Linked DNA regions of Drosophila melanogaster. The protein of the gene in region 2 purifies or fractionates together with the protein of the main gene of each other region. This does not show direct contact. Each region holds a gene or a part of one and is shown on either strand. Other genes may lie near its edges.

Region 1 (14,694 bases), on a different chromosome or scaffold from region 2:
TTGTTAAATACCTCGCCCTCTTCATCTTCCATAGCCAGATTGGAGGACGGTACATTGGGCCGCTTGAAGGGCTGCCAGTCATCGTTCGGCGCCGACGAACTGGACGAAACGGTGAGCGTTGTGCTGGATGGTTTCGTTTCGCTGATGGGCTGCATCTGCAGGTGACGCAGATTGGTGCTAATGATCGCATGCTGCTTCTGCTGCTCCAGAATCTTCTCGTTCAACCGTACAATCTGATTGGATAGCTTGCGTGTATGCTCTTCGTATTTGGCATTCTGCAAGTAAATGGAATTAATAACGTAACTTCGCAAGCAGCGAGCATATCTATCTACCTGTGCGGTGAGTGCCTCCAGCTCCGACGCGCTTTTGGCCGCATCCCGTTCCTGCTTCTCCTTCATGCGCGTCACCTCCGCCGTATACAAGGAACGCTACAGATGGATGATGTTGTGTCAAGTGTCCGTGTGCGTGTGGGTGAACGTGGACGAGTTAGGGCAGTGTATATAGTCAAGTGAAGGTGCGCGTGTGGATTTCGGGCGGCACGCATTTTTAAAGGACGAAAATGAGCGAGAAACAGCAGTGAGGACATTGACGACAATACAAACAATAATAATAAAAAAACAACAAAAAAAACATTCTTGGAAATACAAATCGCTCATTTATCAAATATGACTTAGTACATATCACAAAATGTAAAAAACTTATAACAAAGTCTACCACGTCATGTGTGGCCCTAATACACGATAGGACTGCGCGACTTAAAGATTACATTGATGCCACTTATGTACAGGATGTAATACAAAAAAAAAACGATTAAAATAATTAGGCCAATAAAAAGCAGCATTAATTGCGGCCATCGCCGACGGCGTGACCCCTTCTTGGGTTATATATACAGTTTTCGGACCGACCGCAATTGTGATTTTAAATGGGTGATTTTCGTGGAAAGATATTGGGTGGAAATAGAAAGGAAAGATAAAGCATTTTTAGTTTTATTGATAAGGAAAAGTGAATTAAATAAATCTAGTTAGCTGCAATCGCTAAAGCAAATTTGGAAATCTAACTAGAATCTGCTTGGGTTCAGTAATTGATGATGCAGCACGATTATGGCTAATGTGATTGATGTGATTGATGCAATTGCTAAATGAAATTTTAATTAAACTTATGTATAACATCTCCTCCTTCTGAAACGTATGCATTTTCGCATTTTCAAACGGATAAGATTGAAAATTCACTATACATATAGTTTGAATACCTGATAATGCACTGTGAGTCATTTCGAGGAGCTTAAGTTTAATAGTTTACACTGAACATATAACATCAGCTACGTCCCATTTCAAAACTAGTTAGTAGTTAAACGAAACAATGACATAAACATGCAAAAGCAAAAGCAAAAAAAAAATGGCATGGTGCTAAAATAGGATGACATCTTTAGGTTTTGTCCTCCGCAGACAGCCAAGTAAAAAATGGAGACACCAATTTGTACTTGGTGGCACAAATCATGCGATTAAGGATAACAGTGACAACTCGCGACCATGCCATTTAATGGAAACCAGTAGTTTTCCGTTTTTGGAATCTCGTTCTAGTAGTTCGCAGCGACTTACCATCTTGTTTTTCATCTTCTCCAGCTTTCCCTCCATCTCAAGACGCTGGTCCTTTATCTTCTTCTCGCAGCGCTTAATCTCATCCTTGGCATCGCGATACTTGGCCTGCAATATCTTGCAGTCTAGCGCTAGCTTTTGGTATCTCTCCTTATCCTGATCCGACTCCGTTTGGCGTCCTTCAGCCGCGCTATATGTGTCGCCAAGATCTCTTACGCCCTCCGCCTGGTTAGACTGGATGGAATTTAGTTCTTCCAACTCTTGGTTGGAAGCGAGAAGCAGCCGTTCAAGAGCTTCCACGCGATTCCTATAGAATTCGATGAGTTCACACAACTCGGCATTTTTATTCCCAACTTCACGAGCCGTCTCCTCCATCCTTAGTATCTGGGCGCCATGCTCGAGCCGAGCGTTGTCCAACTCCCGGGTAATTTCGTCTAAACGTCCGGTGACCACAGCCAGTTTATTCTGGGCCTCTTCACGCTCGGCAGTCTCCGCTTCCAAGCGATGCTGCAGTTCGACTACCTTAGGTATATCGGTGATCTGGGCTAGTTGGTCCTTGACCTGGTTATGCTCGGCGATTTCAGTCATTAGGCGACTCTGAACGAAATCCAACTTACTGACTTTCTCTGCCAGCTTTCGGTTAAGATCTTCTACCAACGAGTTGTGGGTAGCCATCTCGGATTTTAGCTGATGATGCAAGCACTCGACCTTAAAAGTTTCCACTTGCAATTGACTTGACTTGACGTTGTCTTTTTCTTGGCAACGGTTCTCCAACTTATTGATCTGTTCGTAAGCAGTCGCACGCTCCTCTTCCATCTGAGTACAGCGCATCTCCAATGTTTCGATTATGTCTTCAAGGGTGGCCAATTTCACCTCGAACTCACGCTTTTCCTTCACCAATCGCTCCTTGACCAGGAAAACCTCTCGCTGTGCATCTTCCTTTTGAAGCTTCAAGTCATCTGATAGTTTGGTCTGTGCCTCGAAGGCCGAATTAACCTTAGCCAGTTCTTTCCGTTCCTTCTCCAGCTCCACTTTCAGGTTATCTACAAGCTGCTGGACGGATTCCTTTTGACACTCCAAATCATCTGATAGCTTGGTCTGTGCCCCAATGGCAGACTTAACCTGAGCCAGTTCTTTCCGCTCCTTGTCCAGCTCCATTTTCAGATTATCTACAAGCTGCTGGGCAGATTCCTTTTGACGCTGCAAATCATCTGATAGTTTGGTCTGTGCCTCAATGACAGACTTAACCTGAGCCAGTTCTTTCCGCTCCTTGTCCAACTCCACTTTCAGGTTATCTACAAGCTGCTGGGCAGATTCCTTTTGACGCTGCAAATCATCTGATAGTTTGGTCTGTGCCTCAAGCTGCTGGGCAGATTCCTTTTGACGCTGCAAATCATCTGATAGTTTGGTCTGTGCCTCAATGACAGACTTAACCTTAGCCAGTTCTTTCCGCTCCTTGTCCAGCTCCACTTTCAGGTTATCTACAAGCTGCTGGGCAGATTCCTTTTGACGCTGCAAATCATCTGATAGTTTGGTCTGTGCCTCAATGACAGACTTAACCTGAGCCAGTTCTTTCCGCTCCTTGTCCAACTCCACTTTCAGGTTATCTACAAGCTGCTGGGCAGATTCCTTTTCACGCTGCAAATCATCTGATAGTTTGGTCTGTGCCTCAAAGGCCGAATTAACCTGAGCCAGTTCTTTCCGCTCCTTGTCCAACTCCACTTTCAGGTTATCTACAAGCTGCTGGGCAGATTCCTTTTGACGCTGCAAATCATCTGATAGTTTGGTCTGTGCCTCAAAGGCCGAATTAACCTGAGCCAGTTCTTTCCGCTCCTTGTCCAACTCCACTTTCAGGTTATCTACAAGCTGCTGGGCAGATTCCTTTTCACGCTGCAAATCATCTGATAGTTTGGTCTGTGCCTCAATGACAGACTTAACCTGAGCCAGTTCTTTCCGTTCCTTCTCCAGCTCCACTTTCAGGTTATCTACAAGCTGCTGGCCGGATTCCTTTTGACACTCCAAATCATCTGATAGCTTGGTCTGTGCCCCAATGGCAGAGTTAACATGAGCCAGTTCTTTCCGCTCCTTCTCCAGCTCCACTTTCAGGTTATCTACAAGCTGCTGGCCGGATTCCTTTTGACGCTGCAAATCATCTGATAGCTTGGTCTGTGCCTCATAGGCAGACTTAACCAGAGCCAGTTCTTTCCGGTTCATGTCCAGCTCCAGCTTCTGGCTATCTACAAGCTGCTGTCCTTCCTGCAGCTTTGCCTGCAGTTCCTCTAGTTTTGTCGACATAAGTACACAATTTTCAAGTGCGTCCTCTTTGAGCTGTGTTAAGCTTTGATTTTGATTTCTCTCCAAGTGCTCGTTTTTCTTAGCCTCCATGTCACATTTAGCTTGAAGAGCTTTAATCTGTTCTTCATACGTTTCCTTTATCTGGGCAATTTTTTCATCAGATGACTTCAGTTTGTTTTTCAGATCTTTCAGCTCGCACAACTTCATGGAGAGGTTCCTTTCCGAAGCCTCCAGATTTTCGATTATTTTCGCACGAAGGTCTAACTCTTTTTGCGCTTTTAACAAACTCTCATTCAACTTTGAATGCACGGTATGCGATACAGTGTTGTCCTCGCTTAACTTTGCGTTGACCTTCTCTAGGTTTTGGATGGTGTCGTTTAGCTGTTTTATCAAGGCACCCGAATGCTGGTTGGTATCCTTATTTTCTAGCTCTACCTGTAGCTCAGCCACTTGCATCTCCAATTTTGCTTGAGATTCCGTGAGCTTTTCTACCAACGACGAGGACTCCTCGTATCGCACCTCCATCTGGTCATACATTTTTAAAAATTCGGTCATACAAGTGCCCAGCTGCTGTGGGGTGTTTACGCCATTGAAATCTTGCTGAAGGCGATCCCTAATGGTATTGATAAACCTAATGGCTTCCACATGGTAGTCCTTTATTTCCTGCTGTGCTATGTCTAACCTCTGTGCCATTTCTTTCGCATTGCTTTGCTCCTTGCTTAGAGTATTTTCCAGCTGGACTACCTTTTGCTTTCTCTTGAAAGCTTCTTCCTCTAGATCTGTTATGTATTGCTTCACTTTTTCGGTGTTGACCTCTAGAGAAGTGATGAATTTATTGCGTTTTATTATTCCATTGATGTTCTGCTTAGCGAGCTCCTCATTTTTCGACCGAAGATCATCCAACTCCCGCTTGAGATCATCAGCCGAAAGCAATTGCCCCTCAATTAACATTTCAATATTCTCAAACCGCTTTTCAATATGCATCGATTCCAGAAAGTTGGTCGCTGAGCCCATGGTCGTGGATTTCGGACAATTTCTACTTCTTAAGAGTGTAAAGATGCGGGTCAGAAAACGATCAAAATGATTGTTATGCTCATCGAATGCCATGATCTGTGCATTCTTCGTTTCCAATTCGATCTCCGTTCTCTTTACAAAGTCTAGATGGGAATGCGTCATGTTGTCATGTTTAGCGCTGAGTTCATTTAATTGCTTCAGCATCTGTGCATACATCTTGTTATGTTCATCATGCATCATCTCCAGATCGATCAGTTGGCGTACGCGCCCATTTAAGGTCTCCCCATCTGGCACCATCATCATCCGGACCAACTCATCTTGGGCCGCGTTCTTAGCAATTAGTTCATTTCGACACACTTCATACTTGGCTCTTAAAAGCTCACCGCACTGCTTCAAATGCTGTGCATGGCTTGCCGCACTGGCCTCTTTATCTGCAATTTGGCTGAGCATATTTTCAAGGTTTATATTCCTTTTGCGCAGCTCCTGAATTTCAGCGCCCACATCTTTTATCTGCTTTTCCTTCTCGATTAGCTGCAGATTGATATCGGCCAAATGTTGATCCCCGCGATCAATTATTGATTTAAGCTCAGCGCATTTATCATTAAGCCTTTCGTTGTCTAACTCCAGGTCGTTGTTTTTCGATGCTATATCGACTACCTTCATATGACAACAACTCAAAATGGTTTCACACTCACGGCTCGATTCGAAACCCGACTCCATTGCCTCCGGTATTGTGGCCTCGAATCCATCTAGCTCTTTTGGCTGGCATCCCAGCGATACAGATAACAGCTTGCATTTCTCCAGTAGTTTTTCGACGCACACAGACTGAACGTCGCATTCCTTCTTCATTTGCGTACTCTTCTCCAACGTGTTAACAAATTTACTTTCGATCGCAGAAATGGTGGACAACAGGGACGACGATGTCCATTCTACCGGAAACTCGTGATCGATATTGTGCTTCTGAAGGAAACTTGAAAGGGCCTGACATAGCTCCCGCTGGGAATTGTTCAGATTCAGCAGCTTCTCCTTTAGCTCGGCATTCTCATGCTCCTTCTCGCGCAACTGTTTGTCAATCACGGAACTGGCCAAATTCTCGGGCGTGGTGTTCGGCGACAGCGAACAGTCGAGTAAATCCGAGGATGCGTTTAAGACCTCGATTCGGTTGTGCAAGTCGTCGCGGGCTTCTTTAAGGCACTTATCCAATTCCTGTTTATCGGACTCCAGAGAGGAGATCATAACGTCCCTGGACGATACGATACGAGTCAAGTCGTCTACACGACTTTCAAGGAATCGAATGCGGTCCGTATACTCCAGCAATCGTTTTCCTGCCAGATTCAGCTATTTAATGAATGCAAGATATAACATATATTAGATTTCATTATGAATTGAATGTAAACGAATATAATCTATACAGTTGCTAGTTTTTCGCTAACATTCGCACAAGACCCGGTGGAATTTTCTTTATAGTATAGTCCCTATAAAATTGAACAGGTAGCTTACCTTCTCGGACAGCTCGGAATTTTCGACACGCAAATCATGCAGCTTATCGGTAATCTCAGCGATGAGACTCTCCTTTAGACCGATTTCCTTTAAAAGGCATCCCTTCATCTGAAATGAGGATTAAAAGTTTTATTAGTTTATAGCTCCCGCTCGCTACCTGTGACCATCTGCGCTAGTCTACCTACATGCTCAAACTCATATGGCATAATGTGGTGGCTCTCGTTATCGTGGTGCTCTTCGGTTAGCTTCACGTTTCTTAGTTTTTCTAGTTCCATCTTGGCCATCATTTTCTCTGAAATGCAAACGATTATGAAATTACTTGTAAAAAAATTATGAAAGTAATGCATTCGAAGCATTCTAACCTTTGTTGAGAACTTTAATGAGCTCGTCCTTCTCCATTTGCTGCTCCTCCAGCAAGGCCTTTTCGTAGCGCACCACCTCCAGCTGGGTACGAATACCGCGCAGCTCCTTGGTGCGTTGCTCCAGTAGCTCCGTTTTCGGGGTCGAAGGAGGTGGCATTTCGCAGCCATTCAGGCGAAGTTGTTCGCGATGATTGCGCAACTGTGGCGTGCTGCTCGACGGCTGTGACGATGACGATGAGGGCGTGGATGGGCATGGTGCATCATCGCTCCTCGGATCGGGACTCAGGCTGCTGCTGGGAAGACATGGGCTGACTGAGGTCGAAACCCCTTGTCGGTAAACAACTGCAACGTTGGCGATCGCCTGGCTAAGATATTCGCGCGTCAACAGCCTGTCCACGGTCTCTCGAAAGAAGGATGCGATGCATGTCTGTGTCAGCTCCGGCAGTTTATTGCAGATGTTGTGAAAGAACAAGCTGGGCTTCTTAACGCACGAGTAATGCAACAGGAGCGTGTAAACGTAAAGGCAATCCAAAGGCAGATCGACTTCCTTGTCATCCTGTTGTGCAATGAACTCGGGATAGTTATCTGCATGGGAAAATTTACAAGTTAGTGGGTTCATGAAGTTGGAAGTGCGCTAAATTCTCATACTAAGGCTTCACTATTTATTAATGTTTCCCTATACCCTATGAGAAACTAGGAAAATAGGTAAAAAAAAACTTACGTGCTAGGAATTCCTGCACAAGGGGGCTTTGTTCTGTGGGCTGATCCTGCAGCTCATTCTTCCCCTTAACATTTTCCGTCTCCTGGATCTTTTGAATGAAGACCGAAAAGAAGGAGTCCAGATCCGACTGCTCCAAGGTAATGTAGTTCGATTCGATGAAGTGGCACTCGCCAATCTGCCGCAGAATTGGGTTAATCTAAATGATTCCCAGTGCGTGATGCGCAATGCGAGATTTACATACCCACTGGAGTAGGACCTTGCGCCAGCTGCGCGTGTCCATTGCGAATTTTTGTGCGTTTTTATGGGTGTGTGTGCGCCCGTATATGTATGCTCAATGTCTGCGTAGACTAATCACACTATCATTGTTGGCATCCAGTAACGGATGTTTTCCAGAACACGGCACAGCACACAAAACAATGTACGCGAAACAAACGGGTTTCGATCGAAAACGCAATTAAACAAAAAATATATTTAGCACAAATGCTCACGAAAACCGAATATTTGTTTTTTTTTTTGTATTTTCCAACCAGAAGCACAACTGCTCCGAACGAGCAATGAAAATTTAATGACTAAACTGAAGTCCGCAGGGCAACAAACAATTTTGACAGTTCCACAAACGAAAACATAGGTAACTAGATACGAAAAAATGCAACAACTTCTCGTTTCGGCGGCGCGTCGTTTAATTCAAATGCCGCAGCGCGACGCCATGCGAGGTGCGCTCGGGTATTGTTATCGGGCGATCGATACTTTCCAGCTGCAAGCCAGGCCGCGTCCACTAGATGCGTTTCTGCTATCGATATCTGTGCGAAAGAAGTGGCTTGTGTTTCCACCATGGCATATTGCATAATTCAAGAAACAAATGTTTCACATGAAATTTGATAAATAATTCAATCTACTTTGTTACGAACTGCTTTCCTGCCTTAGTGGAACGGCTCCAACTGCAATAACCTGTTGCTTTAATACCAAAGTATCCAAAGTATATAGTGATATTTTCAATTGAAATTATCAATTAATATATTAATATGTAATTAATATATATTATCTAATGTAATTTTCCAAGTATGGAAAAACTAGTTGAATCCCGCTATGCTGAAAAACTAAGCAAATTCCATAATTGAAACCGCCTTTTGTGTTTACCCCAATCTCACACATAGATGGCGGCACTGGTCTACAATGCGAATTTCCTGCCAAGTAAACAAGCAACCAAGTGGCTTCTATTTTGGCGGGGAATTCCAAAATCCGATGGCCAATAGCGACCGAGTGTGGCCCACCACATGTAAACTATTAAATTGTAATAACAATAATCAATGACCGAAAACAATGTGCCCGGAATTGCCACCCACCCATCCTCGTTTCTGGGCACGCACACGAGCACAGGGTAGCCGAAAATCTAGTTATAGTGCTGATCGTTAAAAATAACGCCACCATTAATTCGGACAAACAATGGAAATGCACCGCTGATGTACATGTAAAGCAAAAAAAAAAAATCAGAGAAAAAACCAAACATTTTAACGTAAGGAAGTAGGCAGAATAAACAATATGGTGGTGCGAAAACGACAAGCGGTTCAAAAACTATTGTCTAAATTAAGCGTTACAAAAAGAAAGCCATCAGCTTGATCGAAAATCAATAATTACAATACTTGAATTTCAACTTGAAAACACCTCGCCAAAAAATCTCGAACTAAACTATTCCATAACTATTAGTTTTACAACTCACTTAAATCAAGTTGTAAACACACGATTTTGAAAATATTCAAAAGCCAGATGGGCTGAACTATGTGCACAATACAATTCTCACGTATTTAGCATTGATTTCGTTACGAAGATCGGAACATTTCCTTCCTTTTGATTGCCGTCTATTTATAAAGGCGAATTTCCTGTTTATATTTTTTATAATACATTTATTTAGTCGACACAATGGCGAGGTCGGGCCTCCGCCCCCCCCCCCCCAAAAAAAAAAAAAAAAGAAAGAACTACTCCACTTCCACATGCATATGTACATCCATCCAGATGGTTATATCTCACGGAATCGAGCTGACACGCACCACCTGCGCCAGTGGCAACGTGTCCAGGCGCTGTAGTCGCTGTCGTTTCTCGCCGGGATTGAGCTTGGCCGCAGCACTGGCCTGGCCACCTGGACTGGCGACCGTACTGCGACCTGATCTCGTACCCGGACCAGATGCGCCAGCTGAATCCGTGCTATCGCTCTGCGCCTCCACCAGTTTGACATGGGCGATGGTCTGACCGAAGAGCTTCTGCCGGAAACTGGGCCTCTTGGGCGCTCCACGATGCACGCCAATGTCCGGCGTATGCGAGCGCTGATGGCTACGTTGATGATGATCATCTCGCTCCACGGAGCGCTCCTTGTGACGATGGCGTCGCTGCTTCTTGCGGTGCTCACCGCCACCGTTGGGCAGCAGCTCGTTGACGTAGTGCAGCGAACTGGAGGCACTGCCCGTGGAATCGGTGCCGGAGTGACCATGATGCGATTGCGCCTTCTTCGCGTGGCGCGCATGCTTCTCCTCCAGCTCGATTTTGTTCTTTAGCGTCACCTCCTCGATGTGCCGCTCCTGGAAAATGAAAGAGCATCGCTGAGCATCATTCATTGGCTTTCCTCGTATTTGGTGTGTCCTACAAACATGGCACGCCTGTGCTTGTCCCTCTTGGCCAGGACGACCACCCAGGCGCCGTAAGAGAGCATGATGCCCGCCGGTACCAGGACGCCAGCCAGCGAGTTCTCCGACTTCCGGACGCAGGCATGGTAGACGGCCAGGAAGAGCACTGTGGAAATGGATTTGAGTTGAGTTCGTGGCTACAGTCGTGCTTCGCTAACAACGACCAATTCAAAATGAGCATGCGAAAGTCGGTGGCAATTCGATTTGCGTGCTCTAATTTAGTTTAGTTTTTAGTTTTGTTTACCAGTTAAGAATTCGAAAATGATTTTAATAATGGTTTTCTCAAAAATCTAAAAGATCTTTTCATGTAAGCATTATTAAAGAGATACTTATGAATTTATACCTATGTATGTGAATATTTTTCACTTGGCTGGTTTGTGTTAGGCAGGCCTGACTGTAGTATTACAAAAATCCCAAAAACTTACCCAGAAAACAGACGATCACAGCCACCAGACGTCCATTGGCTTTTCGCTCCTCCTGCAAAAGGACAACATGGATATATGGGAATATGAGAAACGGGGTCACCAATTCCAATCAATTTGCAAAGTTGCAAAATTGGATTGAGAATTTTTCAGGGCTTTTCAGGGTTGGCTCTCTTTTTGTTTTTGTGAGTGATGCCATAAAAACAATTGTTTACAATTTTCACGTTCCGTGCATATAGAGGCTTATACACGGCAAAAAAAAGTGCAAATAGGTAAAAGCAAAGAAATCTACGTGCATTTCTATGCTGGACAAAAAGAAAAAAGTGATAGTTTCTTGCAAATAACAAAAAGTTAAGTGCCTTGGATTTTGAAAATAAGATTTCAAAAATGCTTAAATCAACTTGGATGCCAATTAATTTGTTTTTAATTGCACAAAAGTTTCCGAAAGGGAAACTCAATACCGATTTGATTATCTTACACTTCATAAAATGGCGTGATTTACACAAAAACGCTTGGGCATTTTTTTTTTTTTTGTGTATATCTGGGACTTTTGTTGATTTCGCTTCGTTATTTGTTGATCGCAAAATGCGTGCCTGATTTTATACAATTTGTATTAAATAGGTTTGGAAATTTTCAAAAAATAATGCGTATGCATGTCAAACTCAAATCAATTAATTTGGAAACACGCTTCTTCCAGTGTCATTTTCTGCACTTGCTGTACATTTTCCAGTTAACTATTAAATGGCAAATGCATTCTTAACATCCACTGTATGTGCAAAAAGATCTAAGGCGAAAACTAAACGAACATTTCGGATTTTATGATCGGACACACATTCTATTCCAGTGATTCCCATCGATAATGATGGCGCCACAAACGATGGCGTCGTACAAACTTTGAGAGACGTCTGCAAATCTCGGAAAAGCTGAGGAAAATCTGAAAGTCACAGTGATCCATTCGTAAATGACGTGCACGTAAATCAAGGTGTTTCCAATGAATCACAACACGGTGAAAAAAAAAAAAAAAAACGAGAGCACTCATGGAATGTCCATATGGTTATTGTTCAAGTTTTGTTTAGTTTTAAGCGATTCAGTAATATATGTAGATGAATGAAAAAGATCACAGTCATTCGATTTTTAATTGAGTACTGAAAAGTTAATTATTAAGTTCAGGTTTCTAAACTTGCGAATTTGGCATATTTAAGATATTGTATCTTCATTTCGCTTCTTAAGATACTTTTCAAAAGCACCGCCTCAAATTCAAACTTACGCGCGACTTGAGGTCGAGGATCTCGTTGAGATTCTCCTGAATGATCTCCTCCTCCGACATGGACGTAATGCTCTTCCGGGCCACCAGGGAGGTGAGGGCATCCGGCGACTTGGGCACCGCCGGATTGGAGCACACTGTGCCCGTTCCACGCGGCATGGCGGCCGGAAATTTTGGCACCGGCTGGCGATTTGAGGCGGTCGCGGACATGGGCGTGGCTCTGCGACGGAATAAGTGGCTTACGTACTAGTTCGGTTTGAACGGACCGCAAAAAAACAATCGAGTTTCGGAACGGAGTGTATTCAAATTTTCGCAAAAATTTCACAATTTGTATGAAGTGAAGATCGCGTCCGGGCGGCGATCAAAAATCGAGTGAGAGGCGAAATTGTGTGGTTACGAGCCCAAACCTCCTCGTTCCTCTTTTTTTTCGCGACTTCGTTCGATTTCTGCGGGCGATTTGTTGTTATTTGTTGTTTATTTACATTGCAGTAAATAATTGTACGGCTGGCTGTGTGTGCCCCAAGTTCATATCGAAACTGATGCGTATATATATATATATAGGTATGTGCGTATGTGTGTATGCACACATCGACCGAAATATGCAGCAATTAAATTGTTTATTTTTATGCAAAAGATTCGCAGCTATTTTGAAAAACGATTATCGATACAAATGAGCGGCAGAAGGTAGGGGAAAAACATGTTTTTTTAATTCTGTTCTGTATATTTAAAAAAATTTTAATTTTTTTATTTAATTAATTTTAATTACACTAAAATTTATTATATATATTATTAAATACTTTTGTAAATACTTTCTCGTAATTTCCCCGTGAGAACAACTTTTTGACGAATTCCCCCAACAATATTTTCAAACAATCGATGCTATCGATGTAACGGACGCATCGATAATTTGGCTGGACAGTTCGATGATATATCATTTTTAATAAAATCATTAAAATGATAAAAGATATAAAGATTTAACTAGATTTGCTACAAACATTGCAGGTCGCGCTGTTGTCGATTATTCCAGAATAATAACTTCTGGCTGTGCTCATTTTATTTCCGTTTTATTATTAACGTCTTTCTTATTTGAATTCACTTGCATATTAGTGTGACCAATAAGAAATATGAAAAATATATTTAGCAAAAAACGCGATATCTTATATATATATATATCATTTATTTTTATAAAAAGGGAAACAAATAAGATATCGATATTTTTACATATATATTCCACATCTCTAGACAAATCCTACACAGAATTCCCAGGCCCGCGAGTTCTCGCTGCATCTGCATCCACCACAATCTGCACCAGCAATAAACCACCTAACACAAACGCAACGGCGTCGTCCCATCGCTGCGCCCGCCGTTTCCATCGTCGTCAGCAGTAGCAGCAGCAGCAGCAGCAGCAGCAGCAGGAGGAGGAGGAGGAGCAGGAGAGGCGGAGCCACTGTGGCACTATGGCCCTAACTAATCGGGATCGGGAACGGGGCTCTGGTCCATTGCCCAATCGCTGGCTATACTGTCCGCGCAAGAGCGATACCATCATTGCGGAACGCTTCCTGGCCTTTAAGACCCCGCTGAGCAATAACTTTCACGACAAGATGCCCATCGAGTGCACCTTTCAACCCGAGATGCTCTTCGAATACTGCAAAACGCTAAAGGTGAATGCAAACGCAACATCCCCCAATTTCCAACTCACTTATCCAATCCATCTTATGGTTTCAGGTGAAACTGGGCCTCTGGGTTGACCTGACCAATACGAAACGATTCTACGATCGATCCGCAGTGGAGGAGCTCGGCGCGAAATATATTAAGCTGCAGTGCCGTGGACATGGCGAGACGCCATCGCCGGAGCAGACGCACAGTTTCATCGAGATCGTGGACAACTTTATTAACGAACGTCCATTTGACGTTATAGCCGTGCACTGCACGCACGGTTTCAATCGCACTGGCTTCCTGATTGTCTGCTATTTGGTCGAGCGACTCGATTGCTCCGTTTCGGCAGCGCTCGCTATCTTTGCCAGCGCCCGGCCGCCGGGCATCTACAAGCAGGATTACATCAACGAGCTGTACAAACGCTACGAGGACACGAATGCCGCTCCAGCGGCACCAGAACAGCCCAATTGGTGCCTGGACTATGATGATGGCAACGGCGATGGTTTTGTGCAGGACAACTCCTCATCCACGTCACAGCAGGCCGGCGAGCAGGATGACGACGCCGAGGAGGTGGAGGGAGAGGATGCGGGCGGCGACTGTGACGCCTCCACGTCGGACGGTCAGCCGCGTAAGAAGCGACGGCGCGAAATGATCATCAAGAATGCCACCTTTATGGCGGGAGTGCCGGGCGTGCGACAGGTGAGCGATCAGCCGCGACTGGGCGATCTGCAGCGTAAGGTGCAGGACTGGTGCGACTGGAAGAAGAACGGCTTCCCTGGCGCACAGCCCGTCTCCATGGACAGGGAGAACATAAAGCGGCTAAGCGAGATACCGTATCGTGTGTCGTGGAAGGCGGACGGTACACGTTATATGATGCTCATCGATGGAAGGGACGAGGTATATTTCTTCGATCGCAATCACTCCTGTTTCCAGGTGGAGAATGTGACATTTGTGGAGAGCAGGAACCTAAACGAGCATCTCGACGGCACTCTCGTCGACGGGGTATGTGATTCTAGCTGGCACTCCTGATTGCAACTAAATTATCGTTCTATTTGTCCGTTTAGGAGATGGTGCTGGACAAGATCGGCGAGACCGTAACGCCGCGCTACCTCATCTACGACATTGTGCGATTATCGAATCGCGATGTGCGGGACGAGCCATTCTATCCAAATCGACTGGACTACATTAAG
Region 2 (17,358 bases):
GTTCCAGCGACCACGCCTCCCGCCCCATTAAACAGTCCACTAATAAATAATCAAATGGTGAAAATCGGGCTGATAGAGGAGATCGAGGGAGAAGTCGAATGAATTTTCAAAATATTTACATAGAGTTTTCGAACCGAAAATTATGCCGTCTAGTTAAACTCCGCTGCCCCGCTCCCCGCGCCACAATTCTCAGTTGGCCAAGACTTTGTTTAAATATTTACATTCGGCTGTGTGCAATTTGTTGCCTAGATCTCACTCAAAACGACTGTGAATGCGATTCGATCCGGTTTGTTGTTTATCACCATCTTGATTAGGATCACGTGTTGTGGCCAAAAACCAAAATCAAATACACAAACTTTGCTCTATATATTTTTTCTTTTGTTAACCAGCCACCGTTTAAGTTGTTATTGTTCTTTCCCACGACTGAGATTATGTGTTTGTAAATATTTATGAATTTCCACGTTTTATTTCCCATTAAATGCGAGCATTTCGCCTTAAGTGGATTCGATCTTGTTTGGGCCCAATGCGGTTGACAAACTTGAGTGGCATAAACACTGGCACGATGGCGCAAACTTCAAAAAGGTAAACTCAAAGGATTGGCTAGTATAAATAGGAAGGGAAATTGGCACGTGAAGCTAAACAGTGATGTTGGACAAAATATTATGGCCAGAAGTGAGCGGAAACGGAAATGGTTTAATATGTTCTTGAAATTATATTGTGCTATGTGGCTAAGAAAACATAAAATATGAAATAATAATGTTTATAATTACAAGACAGCAGAAATATAAGAAATAAATAAGATATTTATATATTTCATTTATTTCGAGTTACTAATTCCACGCGGAATGTTGTTAGTTTTGCCATACGAAAATGGAAAATTCCTTTACCAAATTACCAAATTCGGCTAATTGCATTTTCGGCTACCGCCTCCTGTTGTGACCAACGATTGCCACACTTTGGCACTTCAGTTGGCCATAAACACCTTGGCCGCTGTGGAAACCTGTGTGTGTGTGTGTGTGTGAATTCAAGATGGGGCGCCTTGCGCAAGATGGCCAAGAATCGCCCGCCTTCCAATCTCATCAGCGATGCCATTGCCAAACTATGCAAACTATGGACAGAGGCAGTAAAAGTTCAGAGACGCCTCCAACCCAACCCATCTCACATTTGGCGCTTTTGCGCCATTCAACTGTCGAAGCTGGCGCAATAAAATCGAACAATTTATAGACTGGCGATCCATTTGGTGCGCAATAATTGCGCCAAATGTACAAAAATTAAGACAAAGAGAGAGAGAGAGCGAGAGAGAGAGAGAGAGAGAGAAAGAATTACTGTGGAAAAGACCCACTTCGGTTGCCCGAAAAACCGATCGCATCCGATTCTACACTTGGACTGCTCTTGTTTGGCTTTTAGTTTAATGGCCGGTACTTAAAAACGCGTTGACTCACAGAACAGGAAGCTGAAATTGAATTGAATTTGAAATTGAGCATCTGATCGCAGCATCGATTTACTCGCTTTTCATCGAACCATCGATTCCGCAACGTTGGCAGTAATTAATCTTCCCGCTTAAGCACCCATTGCCAAAATGGCTGATCTACAGTCTTCGGACATCAGCTCGATTCTTCGGAGTTCCCCCAATCCCTCCAATCGATGATCTCGAACTGGGATTTTGTATCTTGTATCTGCGATCTGTGGCATCTGTTTCATTTCATTTGACGCCCATTGTCGTCAATGGTCCTCCGCTCTTCTGCAGTCTTCTCCGCTCTTCTCCGCCCACCAATTCTTCCGTGTCGTTTGCTTTGTTCTTCCAGGGCTTTTGTAGACGCGAATCGTTTTTTTTTACGAATCTCAGTCTTTGGCCTTCGAGGGCAGCGCACCTGTGGGGTTAAAAATATACGAATACACGGATGCGCGGGAAAATAAAGTTCACTTGCTCAACATTGAAATGTCATGGGGGGAATTGTGTTTTCCACCGCTTGACAGTCGAATGCCGAAACTATTTGCTTAAATGTTTTTCACGTGCCGAAGGTAAAATCAGCCTAATGATTTCTTGTGATCGGTATAGTGCAGTTGAAGGATTTTTTTTCACTTTCTCTACCCTTTGATGGATTTAACCATGCAGCAATGAATCAAAGTCAATTTTCTTGACAAGCCATCAGCAGCGGATCATTAGTAAACAGTTGAACAAGTTCAAAACCCCCAACTAAGATCATGTTCAAGTGGTTTTAGCGTTGGAAAATTCCCTTTTCTTTTCATTTTAATCAACGGCGACATCCTGACGCAGCAGTCGCCTAATTATCCGCACCATAAATCGTAGCAATTGAGGCGCTGACGACAAATATTTTGACGTGGCGCCGCCACGACGATTTCCCCGATTTTCCCCGCATTTCCAACTCCCTTTGCCCAAAAAAAAAAAGAAAAAAAATCCAGAGGTTCGTGGCAAATGTGTGGTCGGCACTTGAGTTCGATTTTGGAAGCGGTAGCCACGGGATACTGAAAACTCTCGGCTTGTAAATGCAACCGAAACCCAAAACAAAAAAAATGCAAGCCAAGCAATTGAGAGCCAAATCAGTCATGTTTCACATTACTAATCGATTTTTCCATACAATTCAGCAAAAAATTATGGCTTAAATATAGTTTTGACCAGTCAATTTTGGCAGGAGAGAAGAAAGTTTTTCAATGGAAAATCAGATATCCCTTGATTTCTGTGTTAAGCAGTAGCTTTGAAAACTCAGTTCAGCACACAGTTTGGACACTTATATTACCAAAATTTCTGTTAAAATTATTTGATAAAAAATTATTCAGTTCAATCATGTTCAAAGTGCGCAGCTTGGCGCTCATGAAATTGAGTGAAGGCGTTTTCGGCGCACGACTAATGGCCAAATCGCCGAAGGATTCGGGCAAGGATTCTTGCAAGGGTGCCGATTCCAAAAAGAAGAAAGACAAAAAGAAGAAGGATATGTGTGGCAGAAGTGGGTACGATATCACTAGAAAAGAATCCTGTTAATCTTTGAGTTTTATTTTTTTTTGCAAAGCTGTTGTTCCCACTTCACCACGTTGCAAAAACAAACCCGGCGGCTCAGACAAATCCAAAGATGAGTGCAAGAAAAAGTAGCAGAGTTCGAATAAATCATTTCAGCCCCTTAAACAAAATCACAGCAGGCCTTTAAACAAACTTCAAGCTGCTTTGGCCTAAGTCAAAATTAAAGTTACAAAAGAAAAAAAAACCATGTCCCGACTTTTGCTGCAGTGCCGCAGAACTTTGCTGATCCTTCGCCATCAAACGGCGGTGGAAAATGAGAAAGGACTCTTTGGCAAACTGCTGGGAAAGTGCCAGTCCTTTGGCAAGGATGAAAAGGATCTTGGCCAGCAGGAGGAGGAGGAATCAAAGAGATCTTAGTTAGGAAATTCAAATGGTTAGCTCTGTGTATACATTCAATTTTCGAAAATATAGATTTTCTTTCCAAACCCTTACAGTCTGCAGCTAAAGAAGCTACCCCGTTCCCATTGAAGATCATATAATGGGCAGCAAATTACCATATTGTTGCCGGAGATCCCAGATGAATCGGGTCCATTTTACGGGCAGCTCATAAAACGGATCGTGCACAGACATTATAAAGCCATAAAGCATCAACTAAAATCGGTCAAAAATAGCTTTGGAGGGGCACAGGCGATGGCCAGACTTAGACAAGTGATACAACATCCATTTCCCTGGTCGGTTTACGATGTCTGAAAATGCCAGGCATCGAAATTCGACGGCGAAGGGCAGAATGACCAGCAGCGAGATGTATCTAAATTTGAAGCGAACCAAATTGTTAGATAAAAGCAATTGTTTCTCACTGAATCATGGGAACTATCTTAAATTTGTTTGGGGGGAAAAACTGCACAATCTCAGCTGGCAGGTACTTAAAAGGTGCCACGTAGCAGTTGCAACCATAGTTGCAATCCACGAACTGCGATTTTCCAATCTCGCAGATACTCAGATGCATGACAAAGATGAGCCGCAATCCAGAAGCCCAACATCCGTGAGTGGGTGGATGTGGATATGGTTGGGATATGGCCCGATTTCTTGGTGCTTCTTTCCATTTTTATGGCAATTCAATTGCACCGCCAGTGACTTTTGTTTCCTGCCGCGAAGCGTTTCTTCCCCCCTCCCCTTTCTCCGCACTGCAGGTTGCAACCGTATGGCCATGTAAGATCTATATTTTCGGGTTTTCCTTTGCGGAATGTAAACAAAAGTGAGATATATATATATACCGACATAGTCACACTTGTCGGTTCAATAGTTGAAATACTATTTTCCCCAGCTCCATTCATTTATTTTTATATTTTTTGTTGCTTTGGGCTGCTTTTGAATTGATCGAATGAATCGGTGTAATATATGTTTTTTTTTTGGGCTAGTTATTAAAGTTATCGCAGTGTAAACAAATGCGATGCGGCTTATTTTAGTCGAAGAGATTATTCGCTCGGATTTTACGATTCTGCGGCCTCATTTCGCTGGCAAATCTTCGGAATTTATTGAATAATTGGGGTTACTCGCGGTCTGAGGTATCTTTCATGTTAGCTGTGCTAAGTAAATACATAGATGTTTTAAACATAAATCACTTTTATTAGTTAATTCTTTACAAGACAATCGATGGATCGGAACTTTTGGCGGAAAGAAACCGGACGAAAGATTTCCATGCTGATTAATATACATATATATTAGGCATTTTCCACAGCAACAAAACATGTTTCACTATATATTTAATTACCAATATATACATATATCCTCAATCAATGCAATGTAACTACCAATTTTGAACCCATTCCCCAACTCCATTCCACTTTTCCTGTCGATTAATTTTCCCCACTTGTCGGTTTTCCGACGTCGTTTTTGAAAAAGTGCCGAAAATCAATTGGATAATCCGACGATCGACGCCCAAAGGAATCCATCAGTGCTCTTTAAACTGCAGACTGCAACTTCACTTGGCGGCAGACTGCAGATTGAAGGGGCTGATTTTTGGTGGAAAATGAGCGCTTTTCCCGCCTGTCTGTTCCACCTTTCAACGGCCGGCGAGAGATTTCGTCCGAAACTACATTTTCCAGCCTGCCGAATTATCGGGGAAATTAATCTTTTCAATCTTGAGTTTGCCCAGGGCCACAACACAGCACACATGTGCCAAACTCAGCGCGCAGACACTGAGAGAAATAGGAACTACTTGCGTTAGGATCCTCAAAATGTTAAACTACATAAAATATATATAAAACTATTAATATTGGTTATTAAAGATTTAAGGATTTTCCAATTCGTGTAAATTATTTATTCATGGTTTTAAATCTATCTATTGTTATAAATTACTTGGAAATATTTGCATTTCTGAATCTACCAGCCACATACCAAATTTCATATCAATCACAACCGAATTCTCGCCAGAAATCAACTTGCTTGTATTGTACTATTTTCTCGCAGTGCATGGTATGTGTGGCCCGGCTAACGGTATATCTATTTCAAGGCCCATCCTTGTAATTGCTCCTCCATATCCATCTCTCTCTCTCTCTAGCCGCTGTTTTCCTGGCAGCTTGTTGTTTTTGGTTCTCCTTCCTTATTCATCTTCGTTTTCCCGATGGCGATTGAAGTTTTGGATGAAATGATGCCGACATTCGTCAAATTTGTTGGCATCAGCAAACAGTTTGGGATTCCGATTCCGATTCCGAATCCGACTGCAACAACAACAACAAGAGCAGCAATGTGGCAGCGTGCGCCGCATTTGCAGGCAGTAAGTGCGACAGAGATGGAATGAGAGCGACCACCCACAGTGCAGCATCACTGTATTTCTCTCTCGCTCGCACGCGCAGCGAAAACCGCATAAATCCATATTTCTCTAGCTTGTGCTTTTTACGATAAATTACAGAGGTTGCAGGGTGTTCGGTAGCGCACAAATGATCATTCATTCACAAGACAGCAGATACCCCCGCATGCCCCCTAATTCCTCACCGTCCCTCTCCCCGCCACTCCTACGCCCCTCTGCAAATGCCGCACTTTTCGTGTAAACATGTGTAAATCATGACCCGTTGATGGCCTTTATATTCATGGTAGAGCAAGAGGAGGGGTGGTGGATGTAGGGGGGTGGGGGTGTTTCTTGAGGAGGGGAGGGGGATGGTGGCCACATGTGACGTCCTCCGGCGGCGGCAAAACTTTTGCACTGCGACCCCATCCTCATCCTCATTCTCATTCTCATCTTTATCCGCATCCTCGTCTTCCTGCCTTCGCATCGCTTTGTTTAGATAAATTAGCTGCGGAAAGACCAGCCCCCCCCCCCCCCCCCCGTCACGTTCCATACCACAAAATTCACAAAATAGTTTCTTTTAATATCATCGATTTGGAAAAAAACAGAGGAGCTTCTATAAGTGGAATTATGCTAATGAAATTTTGAAATATTAATATTATTGCATTAATAAAGTTATTATTAATTATATGATCATTGCATATGCATGATTCTCTAAAAATAAGTTTAAAAAAAATGAAATTAAATATTACTAAAAATATAAGCTCAATAAAATATAAGCTCAGTTTAAATAAAAAGATTAACAGTGCAAACGAAAGTAATTTCTTTAGTTCTCATATGTTTTGTTATTTAAGAATTGACGTATTTATGTTATTTTTTAAAAAGTTCTGTTCTTCGAATTGACTTTAAATGATTCTAAATATTGTCAGTTTGTTAGAAAGGAGCTCCACTGTACCTGCGTCGCATGCAACTGCAGACATTTGGGATTCAAATCGAGAATGGAATGGAATTGTCCCAAAATAAAGGCAAATATTATTTATGCCAGGGCCCTGAGAACTTTTTCTCCAACGGCCTGCGTGCACATTGCATTGGTGTTGATGAGGGGGGAGTGGCGGGGCATGCATTTCAGAACAACATCATATTTTCGGCTATGTTTATTTACACTTAAAGCGCTATAACAACAAACTGAAATGCAAAGGGCAAGTTGGGCATAATGCATGTATGGCTCACGACTGAACAGCGGAAACAGGATCATATGAGTGGCATTCAAGCATAAAGTTTACAAAGTTGCGATAATTAAAATGCGTGTATATCAATTAAATTAATTTGAAATTTACCGCCCAAAAGTGACGTCACAGTTGCCTACAAGAAGATGCTAGCCAAGTCACACACCCCGCGAGTACTGCCAGACTGCAGCTAGCAGAGTACCACACCCGGCAGCGTTGCCACACAAACGATCGTGTGCAATGCACTAACGCCAGTGAGCAAGCGATCTGTGAACTTCGGCAAACAGTCACACCAATCCGACGCGAAGTGAATCATATTGCGCACAGCAAAATCAGCGGATAAGCAAATTAAAGCGACAAAAGAATATTAAATCGGCTCTGCCGCTGCAGCAAGAAGCGTGAAAACAGCAATGCAATCGGGCTAATCTCCAAAAAAAACCCAAAAACGTTTCAAGCCAGTGTGTGTGCGTGTGTTTGTGTGTGTGTGCTTGCGTGCGCTGCGCATGTGTGGTGTGTTTGTGTGAAAAGGAAGAGAGGTGGAAACGCACACAAAAAACGAAAAGAAAAAAAGTGTACAGCCGACGACGCGCAGACGCATCTCGAAATTGTTGGAAAAATCGCGTGTGAGAAGAGTGCGCGAAGTGAGAAAGGAGCAACAAATCGCTAAAGACATATTTCGAAGATGGGTTGTGCCGTGAGTACAGCACGCGATAAGGAGGCCATCGAGCGGTCGAAGAACATCGATCGCGCCCTGCGGGCGGAGGGCGAGCGGGCCGCCTCGGAGGTGAAACTGCTGCTGCTGGGTGCGTTCGCCTTCCATTTCACCTTTTCACCTCTCTAGCATTATTCCGGTATTTCCCCCCTTTGCGAATTCTTTGCTGAAATTCGCGTTGTGACCTCATTTTTTTTTCCATTCGCTCGCTTTGCTTGGGCGGGGTGGGTATCCGCTGGGTGCCGTTGCTTTGCGCTTTCGGCTGTGGTGAGTTGGGGCAAGGATTTTTGCCGGCTTTTCCAGTGCGAAAGGGTCTGGAAAAGGCTGGAAGGCATGGGATGAAACAATACAGTAGAGTTACAGTATAACGAATTAGTAAGACTAAAATTAGAAAAATGTAATTTATTTGTTTTTAAGATCACTCGTTATTATAAGACCATGTTATTCTAGCTAACAGTTTAACATAAAAGTCTAAAGTCCCCAACTATCCCATATTTCGACTATAAATATGCATGGAATGGAGTAAGTAGACTCCATGCAGCTCTGTTTATCTGGGAAAACCAATGTTTATGTGGCTGCTTGGGGCTAAACAAATCCGTCTGTTCGTAGATCGTGCATTATGCAATGTCTGTGTCCAATAATTCGTTGGCGATAAGGGAATTGAACGTAAATTGAAACCAAATGTCGGTTTGACTGTGCGGATACACTCGATTCTAGATTCTCGGTACTCAGTGCTCGTTTCTCATCTGCTGGCACGCACTTTTCAGATCTTTTGGATCGATGCAACAAGTGGATCGAATCGGATCCCATTGCCGCAATGGAAACATGTTTGTTGATAGCGCAGCGGTTTCCACTTTGCAGGAAAAACCATTCAAGCGACGAGGCGCCATCGTATCGCATATACAAACATACATGCATACATACATACATACATATATGATGTATGTATGGTTTTTGGTGACCCGACCTCTGCGGCAAATGCAGTGAAACTGAATGCCTCGCTGCGTTGCAACCTTCTGCAATTAAATTTCCACTCGCCGATTTATATGCACGGCATATGGGAACGATGATATATTTCACCGTCTGCGTGTGTACTTTTCATTTCATTGCCATTCATTTGCGAAAAACAATGCCGTGGAAGTTTTCCTCCAGCGCGGCTGATTGGCCAATGAATCGGGCCAAGATGACTAAGGCAACGAGTGGTAGGCTGGAAAGTACAGCAAAGACTGGCTATGCAACCTACACCTTTATTAAGTGAACTGATATATAGGGTTTACTGTACTAAATTAATTCATAATGTCAAATGTTATCATTTCAAAAGGATTTTTCTAAAAAAAAAAATGATGCACATTAGTAAATGATTTTTTTGGAACCTAGAACATAGTGTAGTTTTCATTTACACTGTAAAACATTTATCGAGCTTATCAGCAGCCACCGCACCTTGCACTATATTTGTTTGTGAGTAACCACTGTATTTGCAGGCTTAAAGATAATAAGGAAAACTGTTTGCCTCAATGAAAAACCTCGTAAACCGGTTTGGAAAATGCCCGCTAAAAGGTGCAGGAAAATTCTACCATTTTCATCCCCATTAAAAGATATCCCCTATTATCATTCAGTATCCCAGCTGTTTTCGTCCAAACCCCCGGTTGACCAGTGTAAATGCTTCTGGTTTACATAGCCAAGAAAACAGCTTGCACCAGTTGCATTTTGAAATTTAGCCCAACATTTTACACTTGATTCAATTGTTTGCACCTTGTGGGGCGTGTGTTCTGTAATTTCTGGATCATGATGAAAACCGATCTCTGATCTCCGATCTCCGAGCTGCTGCAGCTTTCCTCCGACTTCCAGCTGAGTAATTGGCTGTTTTTGTTGCTGCTTCGTTGTTTGTTCGCTGACATTTCAAGTGGGGTGAACGATATTAGCGCAAATAAATGGGCCCGCCATCAAATGCAACTGTCGCGGCTACACGGAAAGAAAAAGAAGAATGTACTAGTTTGCTAAAAAAAATATCTTTAAAAAATATAGTTTTCAAATTATGCAGTAAAGACATTGCTTATAATTTAGTATAAATATATATATTATTCATTGAATTTATTGGTAATTTCTACCAGTGTACAGCGACTACTTACTTGAATTGGAATCGGAATTGGCAGCCCCCAACGCTGCGCTTATTGAGTAGATTTAATAAAGCTGCTCAGCTGACACTCAATTTATATTACACTCTGCTGCCTCTCCCCTTTTCCTTACCCCCCCCCCTTTCCGCAAGCCTTTCAATTGAAAAGCACAACTTTTTCAACCGTTTTTCAACCAAACATATTGTGCTTAAGGGCAAAGATAGTGAATTACTGCATTATTTTGATGATATTTGCAAGGAAAGAGCAGCAAACCGAAGAGAGAAAACGAATTCCAATGGGGGGGGCATGAGTAAGAACTCGGATATCTGTAAAAAAAAAAAAAAAAAAAAAAATATGAAAAAAATGGGAAGAAAATAATATATAAACAAAATAGTGTCATGCTGCTGGCGCACCAATATCAAAATCGGCACTCAGACTGTCAACACACAGCAACTTAATAATCTACAATTATTTAAGAACTCGCTTACCAACACATTTAAACTGAAAGTATCATTGGGCTTATCAAAATTATCGCCAAGCGAGCGACCTTATACATATGTACGTCAATATACTATATGTGGTTAAATAATTGATGTACATATGTATGTACATCACATATAGGAAATTTCATGATAATCGAGAGATCTGCGTGAAAGTCACTACTAGGTGGGGGGCTTCCGTTTTGGGGCCGCATTTCATCTGATTTAATTGTTTACTTTTTCGGTGGGTCCGCTCAATTTCACACTCCCCGCTGATTAACACATTTCCCACTTCGATAACTGAGGCCAGGCGCCATTTAACTTGATTACTCATGGCGCAAACACTTTCTTACGATTCTCCTCCTCTTGCTGTCTACAGCTATTGTTCTTTCTTCTCCCCTCTTTTTTAAATCATCGCATGGCGTAGCCTTAGTCACCCTGTTTCCAATGAATATTCTAATTTCGATAAGTAATTATCTAACGAATTGGTTGGTGCAGTAAAAACTGCATGTCTTCCTTAAATTTCCTATCTAGCTAAATAGTGATTTTTTAATCATTTATGACAAATTGAACAAATATTTGAATGTTGTTTACAATTTCAAATTCTAATAAATATAATAAAAAGTTTTTTTAGCAACTTCTAACAACTATAAAATATATCAATAGAAGCTAGAATTCCTGCATTCCCCGCCGATTCTTTTTTCGCCGATATTCACTGTTTAATGATGTTAATTATAATACCGTTTGGTTGTGGCCATCGCGATGATAATGAGCTTGTAAACGCGGCTTTGTGCGTATCGCCGTTGTTCTGAGCCCGTCTCGCTCCAGCCCTATTGTTGGCCTCTCGCTCGCACCCGCAGTCGGCCGGGCGCGTGTTATGGCACAGCTAACGGTGCATTGATAAATGAAGGCCCAGCCACACCAACACACACGCACACACTCTTTCGCATTTTGTTAGTAGTGTTATTATTAAATTGACCTTTTTCCAGCCGCTCATTTGTGGATTGCTTTGTTCGCTACTTTTTTCCACACGGTGGCAAGTTTGAACATCGCCTTATGTCCATATTCGTATTCAAATCTGTCAATTTCATCATTATGCGGCGACCGTTGTTTGCCCATTATCAGCATTCAGCAGGCGTCTCTTTCGCTCCAACACTTTTTGGTGGCAAAATTAGTTAGCATTGTTCGGAATTGGTTAAAATTGAAGTCTTAACAATAACTCAAAAAAATTTATAAAACAAATTTAATGTAATATATATTGACAGTGAATGTAACAGTGGCCATTTAGTGTAATATATATTAACAGTAGGTGTAACAGTGGCCAGCACATTACAATTAGAGTGGACCCTATTCTAACACATTATGGTACCTAAAACTATAGGCTGAATTTCTTAATCTTCATAAATGTACGTAACATATGTATTAAACTTACCAATCTTCATTGAATGAGCACCATCCGCCCCAAGGGAACTTCAACCATGGCTGATTGATATACGTACGAATAGTAAAAACAATTAAAGTTTCAGTGCAAGTATCGAAGCCCTGAAAGTTGAGAAAAGTGAAAGTAAAGTCGCAGTTTTGGCTTTGGCAATTACCTAATCATCCGGTGGCTGGGAATGGACCCAACTACCAACTGCAGCAAAAAGTCGGCTTAATGCGCCATTGTTGCAATGCCCCAACATCGTGTATATATGTTTATATATAGCTATAGATATTCGAAATTACTTGGACCGGCAGATTTGCCAATTTTTGTATTTGCCCATTTGCTCTGCGATTTCAACTTCTTTAGTTTTCAGCGAAAAGGGAAACTGGCGAGCACGTAATGCGATTATGTTTCATATTTTTTTTTTTATCATTCGACGCAGCAGATAATATACATAGTACTACATATATAATAAACTGCCCAGACGAGCCCGTGTGTTTGTTGTTTATCAACGCTGACGGGTCAGGTCTCATTTAACAATTGAAGGCACTCGGCGAATAAAATTATGCCCAGTTAATTTTCTCCGCAATTTCCAACGCCTTTGATAACTAATGGGTGGGTGGTTCAACGAACTCCAGGGCTCGGCCATGCAAGTTAATAAATTATAATAAATTACAGAGTAGTACGCTTAGAAAATGCATATATCTATTTGGATTATCTTTAGCATGATGATGTGCATATAACTTGATCTGTTATCACAATATTATTGACCCTTATTTGGTGTTCATTTGATTCGTATTGAAATCCGACATGCTATATTAAATGACCATATACACGATGTTCATTCATTTCTCAACTAGACCAGCGCAATTAAGCGTGACCTCTTGAGTCGCGCAATTGAGCAACTTTTCTCGATCGTCTCATTCATAAATTCCACTTCCGTTCCCCTTGGCAAACTTAAAAGCCCCTTCCCGAAACCGAACTCATCGATTCATTCATTCAGTTTTACGCCCTGAACTTGGTGCATACAAATATTGAGCTCACACTTCCTTGGAATGATTCTTTATAAACTTTGATAGTACACCTTAACTAATAAACTCTGTTGAATTTCTTTTGTAGGAGCCGGAGAGTCGGGCAAGTCAACGATTGTGAAACAGATGAAGATCATCCATGACACGGGCTACTCGCAGGAGGAATGCGAGGAGTATCGTCGCGTCGTCTTCAGCAACACGGTGCAGAGTCTAATGGTGATCATCCGCGCAATGGGACGCCTGAAGATCGAGTTTGCCGATCCGAGCCGAACGGACATTGCCCGCCAGTTCTTCACACACGCCTCTGCCGCCGACGAGGGCATCCTGCTGCCCGAGATCGTGCTCCTGATGAAGAAACTCTGGGCAGACGGTGGCGTACAGCAGAGCTTCGCCCGATCGCGCGAATATCAGTTGAATGACTCGGCGGGATACTATCTAAATTCGCTGGATAGGATCGCGCAACCGAACTACATACCCACGCAGCAGGATGTGCTACGCACGCGGGTGAAGACCACTGGCATCATCGAGACACACTTCTCCTGCAAGCAGCTGCACTTCAAGTGAGTTGTCATTAATTGCCCACTTCCGGTTGATTCGATTCTAATGGTTATGTTTTTTTTTCGCCACAGACTTTTCGATGTGGGTGGCCAGCGATCGGAGCGCAAAAAGTGGATTCATTGCTTCGAGGGCGTTACGGCCATAATCTTCTGCGTCGCGCTATCAGGTAAGTCAAATATTCTACGAATCTTAGGAATCTAATGCAATTGTTATATATTTCGCTAGGTTACGATCTAGTATTGGCCGAGGACGAAGAGATGAATCGTATGATTGAGTCCCTGAAGCTGTTCGATTCCATCTGCAACTCCAAGTGGTTTGTGGAAACATCCATAATACTGTTCCTCAACAAGAAGGATCTGTTTGAGGAGAAGATCAAGAGATCTCCGCTGACGATATGCTTCCCAGAGTACACAGGTAAGATAAGAGTGTAGAAAACGATTACATTTTTGTTTAACTTGATATACTTTTAGGAACCAACACCTTCGAGGAGGCGGCCAACTACATTCGCATGAAGTTCGAAAACCTGAACAAGCGAAAAGACCAAAAGGAGATATACACGCATCTCACCTGCGCCACGGATACGAACAACGTGAAGTTCGTCTTCGATGCCGTCACCGATGTGATCATCAAGAACAATCTGAAACAAATTGGCTTATTCTGAGAGGGCGGCGGAGCACAAGATCATCATTATTTAGCTGGCGTCGTAGTATTAAAGGAAAACGCGCATAAACATTTCCATTAAACGCTAAGAACTCGATACATTTACGCTCGTACGATCCATATATGTTTTAAATGCGTTACATGCTTGACACACGTAATTTTAATAACCGATTTGGTTGCCAGTAGTCGCGGAACAAATAACCTAACCAGCTGCAATTTAGTTAACCGTGTCCATTAAATTGCACCCATAAGCTAACTAATTTAAACATTAGCCTAACCACACAAATGTAAAGTTCGACAAAGGACAGCCGGTGGGTTTTGTACATCCTAAAACCTCAACCCGATCGGCTCCCTTTGGAATTTAGTTAAGTTTCGCGGGCTAATGGCGGTGACCAAGGGGAGCACCACATCCAGAAATCCCCAGAGGTGTCTCCTTGGGCGCAAGCCATTTTCCGGACGTTTATTCTTTGCCAAGAGCTTGACAGCGTTATTTAAGGTGAACCTAAGGCCTGGAGTTGTAAGCCCTAAAATGTAACTAGTAAACTTACTAATATGTTTAGTAATAGCCTAAATAAAAGACAATTTATACAAAATAACCATTCGTACTTGAATGCTGCCAATGCTGCTTATTATTTCATGTGCGCTTACAGAGCTGACAACTTAGTAAAATAAATATTAGGATCCTTAAATTATGTTGATCATTGCTCAGTTAGTTTAGTGTATATTCCAATTTAGAGCTATAGCTTGTGCCTATTTTCATAAATATATTAGAAACAGTAATTTTGTTTTAGGTTTAGCTTTTTTGAACTTAGCGTTCTTTCCCAAAAAAAATGGGATTTTCTTCGGAAAGAGTTGCAACTCTGGCTGATGATTGTCAAGTTGGCCTTGCCGCATTCTGCTTTTTGTCAGGCATTTTGGATTAATTCGTTTGTTGAAATTGTCAATTGCTTCAGTGAAGAATTTTTAATCTGCTTAAACTTGGAAAATGATTCGCGCCATGGTAATGACCAAATGGAGTAAGTCGGTGGCGGGACCACTGGTCACAGCGTGGAGTAAGTGAAGCAGGCACGTGTTTTTTTCTTAGCAAACTTTAACGCCTTTTCCCACCATAAAGACTACTCCACATTGAATCGCCTCAATGGCAATACTGTGCGCCCGCGTGCTCTGTTCCTGAATCTCGACCGCAAGTTCTCCGCCGAAGGTGGCGGCGATGAGAAGCCCAAGAACGTGCCGCCTGGATTTGCGGCTCCAGGGTTTCCATCCACCTTGGGCAATAACCCAGAGAACACCACGCGTAAGGATGTGCCCATTGGCGAGGTGCAGGCGCCAACTATTTCCGTAGTGAACGCAGGCGGTAAACTGGGCAGAGCTGAGCCACTGGAGGCCAGCACCATCGTGCGCAGCAAGGGCACTTCGAACGAGGACAAGATGACCGAGGCGCAGAAGAAGGCATCGGAGGCCAAGGAGGCGGCCGCCAAGCAGTTGCAGGATGTCATGGCCAACTTGCCTAGCAAGGAGCAGACCGAAAAGTATTTCTTTCGCGTGGTTGCCTTCTTCTATGACTTGACCTACCTAACCGCCACCTGGTTGCTCAACTTTGTCGAGCACAATATCGTTCAAAATGCCAAGGTGCAGCACTACTGGAAGCGATTCCACGAAAAAATGGAGCAGGCCAAGAAGGATTAACTCCCAGCGGAGCCGAAAAATATATTATAAAACTCATGCGAAAGCAAAAAATAAAACAACTCGCTGACGAGTACAAAATTACACTTGACTTGGCCACTTTTCCATCAGATTAACGCCGAGGTGTAGCCATCCAGTAGTTTGGCCAAGAATTTGAGTATCTTGTTGCGAGCGGCCACCAGTTGTGGCGGATCGGTTTTCACCGGCTCATACATATTGGCGCAGTGAGCGGTTCCTAAAAAAAAAAACACAATAAATGCTTACATTACCCAAGTTATATGTGAAAAATGTGTTGGTAAGCACATACCTTCTATGTAAATGGTAGGAAGTGCTGCGTTCGTGGACTTGACCAAGCCCAAAGCATGCCAGGGATCAATGGAACCGTGCACGTACAACACATTTGTGGTCTTTGGCTTTAGGGCGCCATAGTTATCATTTGTGGCGGACACCACCAGTTTGAGGAACTTGGCGTTCATATTCTTGGAGAACACATCCATGCACTGGCGTATAAAGAAGTCGACACCGAAGCGATCACCAAATGTGTCAGCCGGGTTATCCGAGGTCTGATAGAAGCCGAATTCGTGGCAGGTCTGATATGTCCACTGGCGCATTCCCTTGGCCGTCTCCGAGTCCCAGGAAACGTTCTTCATGTCCGCCACCATCTTGTCGTACTTGTAGTCCAGGCAGGTGGTGTTCGATTCCTTCAATAGCATATCGTTGACCAGGCCCAAACGGGTCACAGGTGGACCAGCCGTGGTGTTTAGCATGACATCGCAGATCTATGGAGTTCAAACATTCTTAGTATGGACTTGATAGGGATCAAAGTGAGGATGAAACACACGTCGTCAATGGTGATGGTGGCATGGGGACTGTTGTCCTTGTTGTATTGCACCACTCCAGCAAAGTTGCCAGCCAGATTCTCAAAGAAATTGGCCATGTCCAGGTCGTTTTCAATGGAGTCCTTGATGGGAGTGCATGTTCTGAGTATAAAATGGTTTACAAAATTAAAATTTGTGCAGGACGATAGCCTAATCCACTCACTTGAACTTCTCGTCCAGGCTGCGTTGTCCAATCATGTGCTTGAGTAGAATCTCCACTTGCGCAAAGCTGCGGGTCACGGCGTCCACGCATTCGGGCTTGTAGGCAGCTAGAGAGGCTTTGACCACCTCGAAATACTCCTTGAAGTCAACCTCAGCCAGCAGAGGACCACTGGAGCTAATTGAACCGTAGATGAGCTCGGGATACTTCTCGCGTGCCCAGGCGGCCAGCGATCCCGGATAGGAGCCACCGAAAGCGATCCATTTCTGGCCATCGCCCAGATTGAACTTAACCTTCATGGCGGTTACAAAGCTGGCCAAGTCCTCCAGAGCCTGCTCCGAGCTGAGATAGTGCAGATTTTCGGTGGACAGATCAGCGGTGGGATGGCTCTTGCCATAGAAACGATGCTCCAACTGCAGACACAGCGCTCCAAAGTGCTCGGCATAGTGCACCCAGGCTCCTTCGCGCATCCACTTGGCCGACGCCTCGCCCTCGCCACCGATCATCAGGAATACGGGTGCGGAGCTGTCATTCCGATAGAAGTCGGCATTCACAAAGTATCGCTGCTGCCAGGTGCGCTTATCGCTCGACTTGAAGTGATCCAATCGCTGCTCGAACCACAGATCCTCCGAGTGCAGGCTCCTTTGCAGGGTTGGAATCTTGCTGGGCTCC

The links.
Region 1: the proteins of Galphai (region 2) and mud purify together in Drosophila melanogaster (affinity purification with western blotting, with the first as the bait; one study listed by BioGRID). This does not show direct contact.

The regions. Positions count from the first base shown.
Region 1 is NC_004354.4:14,241,193-14,255,886, reverse strand, and holds the start of mud (mushroom body defect), read right to left. Parts: upstream 8,156-14,694; 5' UTR 7,768-8,155; coding exon 7,729-7,767; exon of another isoform or gene 7,663-7,728; coding exon 7,488-7,662; exon of another isoform or gene 7,352-7,487; coding exon 6,767-7,351; exon of another isoform or gene 6,697-6,766; coding exon 6,590-6,696; exon of another isoform or gene 6,513-6,589; coding exon 6,405-6,512; exon of another isoform or gene 6,243-6,404; coding exon 1,599-6,242; exon of another isoform or gene 875-1,598; coding exon of another isoform or gene 731-874; exon of another isoform or gene 429-730; coding exon 333-428; exon of another isoform or gene 276-332; coding exon 1-275. Other genes in the region: CG32599 (uncharacterized protein), read right to left, coding at 9,509-10,057, 10,123-10,268, 10,588-10,639, 11,852-12,058; mRNA-cap (mRNA-capping-enzyme), read left to right, coding at 13,306-13,509, 13,574-14,506, 14,569-14,694.
Region 2 is NT_037436.4:6,969,951-6,987,308, reverse strand, and holds Galphai (G protein alpha subunit i), read left to right. Parts: upstream 1-7,264; 5' UTR 7,265-7,670; coding exon 7,671-7,791; intron 7,792-8,086; exon of another isoform or gene 8,087-9,662; intron 9,663-9,829; exon of another isoform or gene 9,830-10,140; intron 10,141-10,302; exon of another isoform or gene 10,303-10,987; intron 10,988-12,835; coding exon 12,836-13,307; intron 13,308-13,376; coding exon 13,377-13,471; intron 13,472-13,530; coding exon 13,531-13,719; intron 13,720-13,775; coding exon 13,776-13,966; 3' UTR 13,967-14,559; downstream 14,560-17,358. Other genes in the region: CG32388 (uncharacterized protein), read left to right, coding at 2,807-2,966, 3,030-3,109; CG43439 (uncharacterized protein), read left to right, coding at 3,224-3,394; CG10063 (uncharacterized protein), read left to right, coding at 14,951-15,017, 15,080-15,651; CG9953 (uncharacterized protein), read right to left, coding at 15,756-15,883, 15,956-16,427, 16,490-16,628, 16,690-17,358. UniProt on the Drosophila melanogaster protein: Guanine nucleotide-binding proteins (G proteins) are involved as modulators or transducers in various transmembrane signaling systems.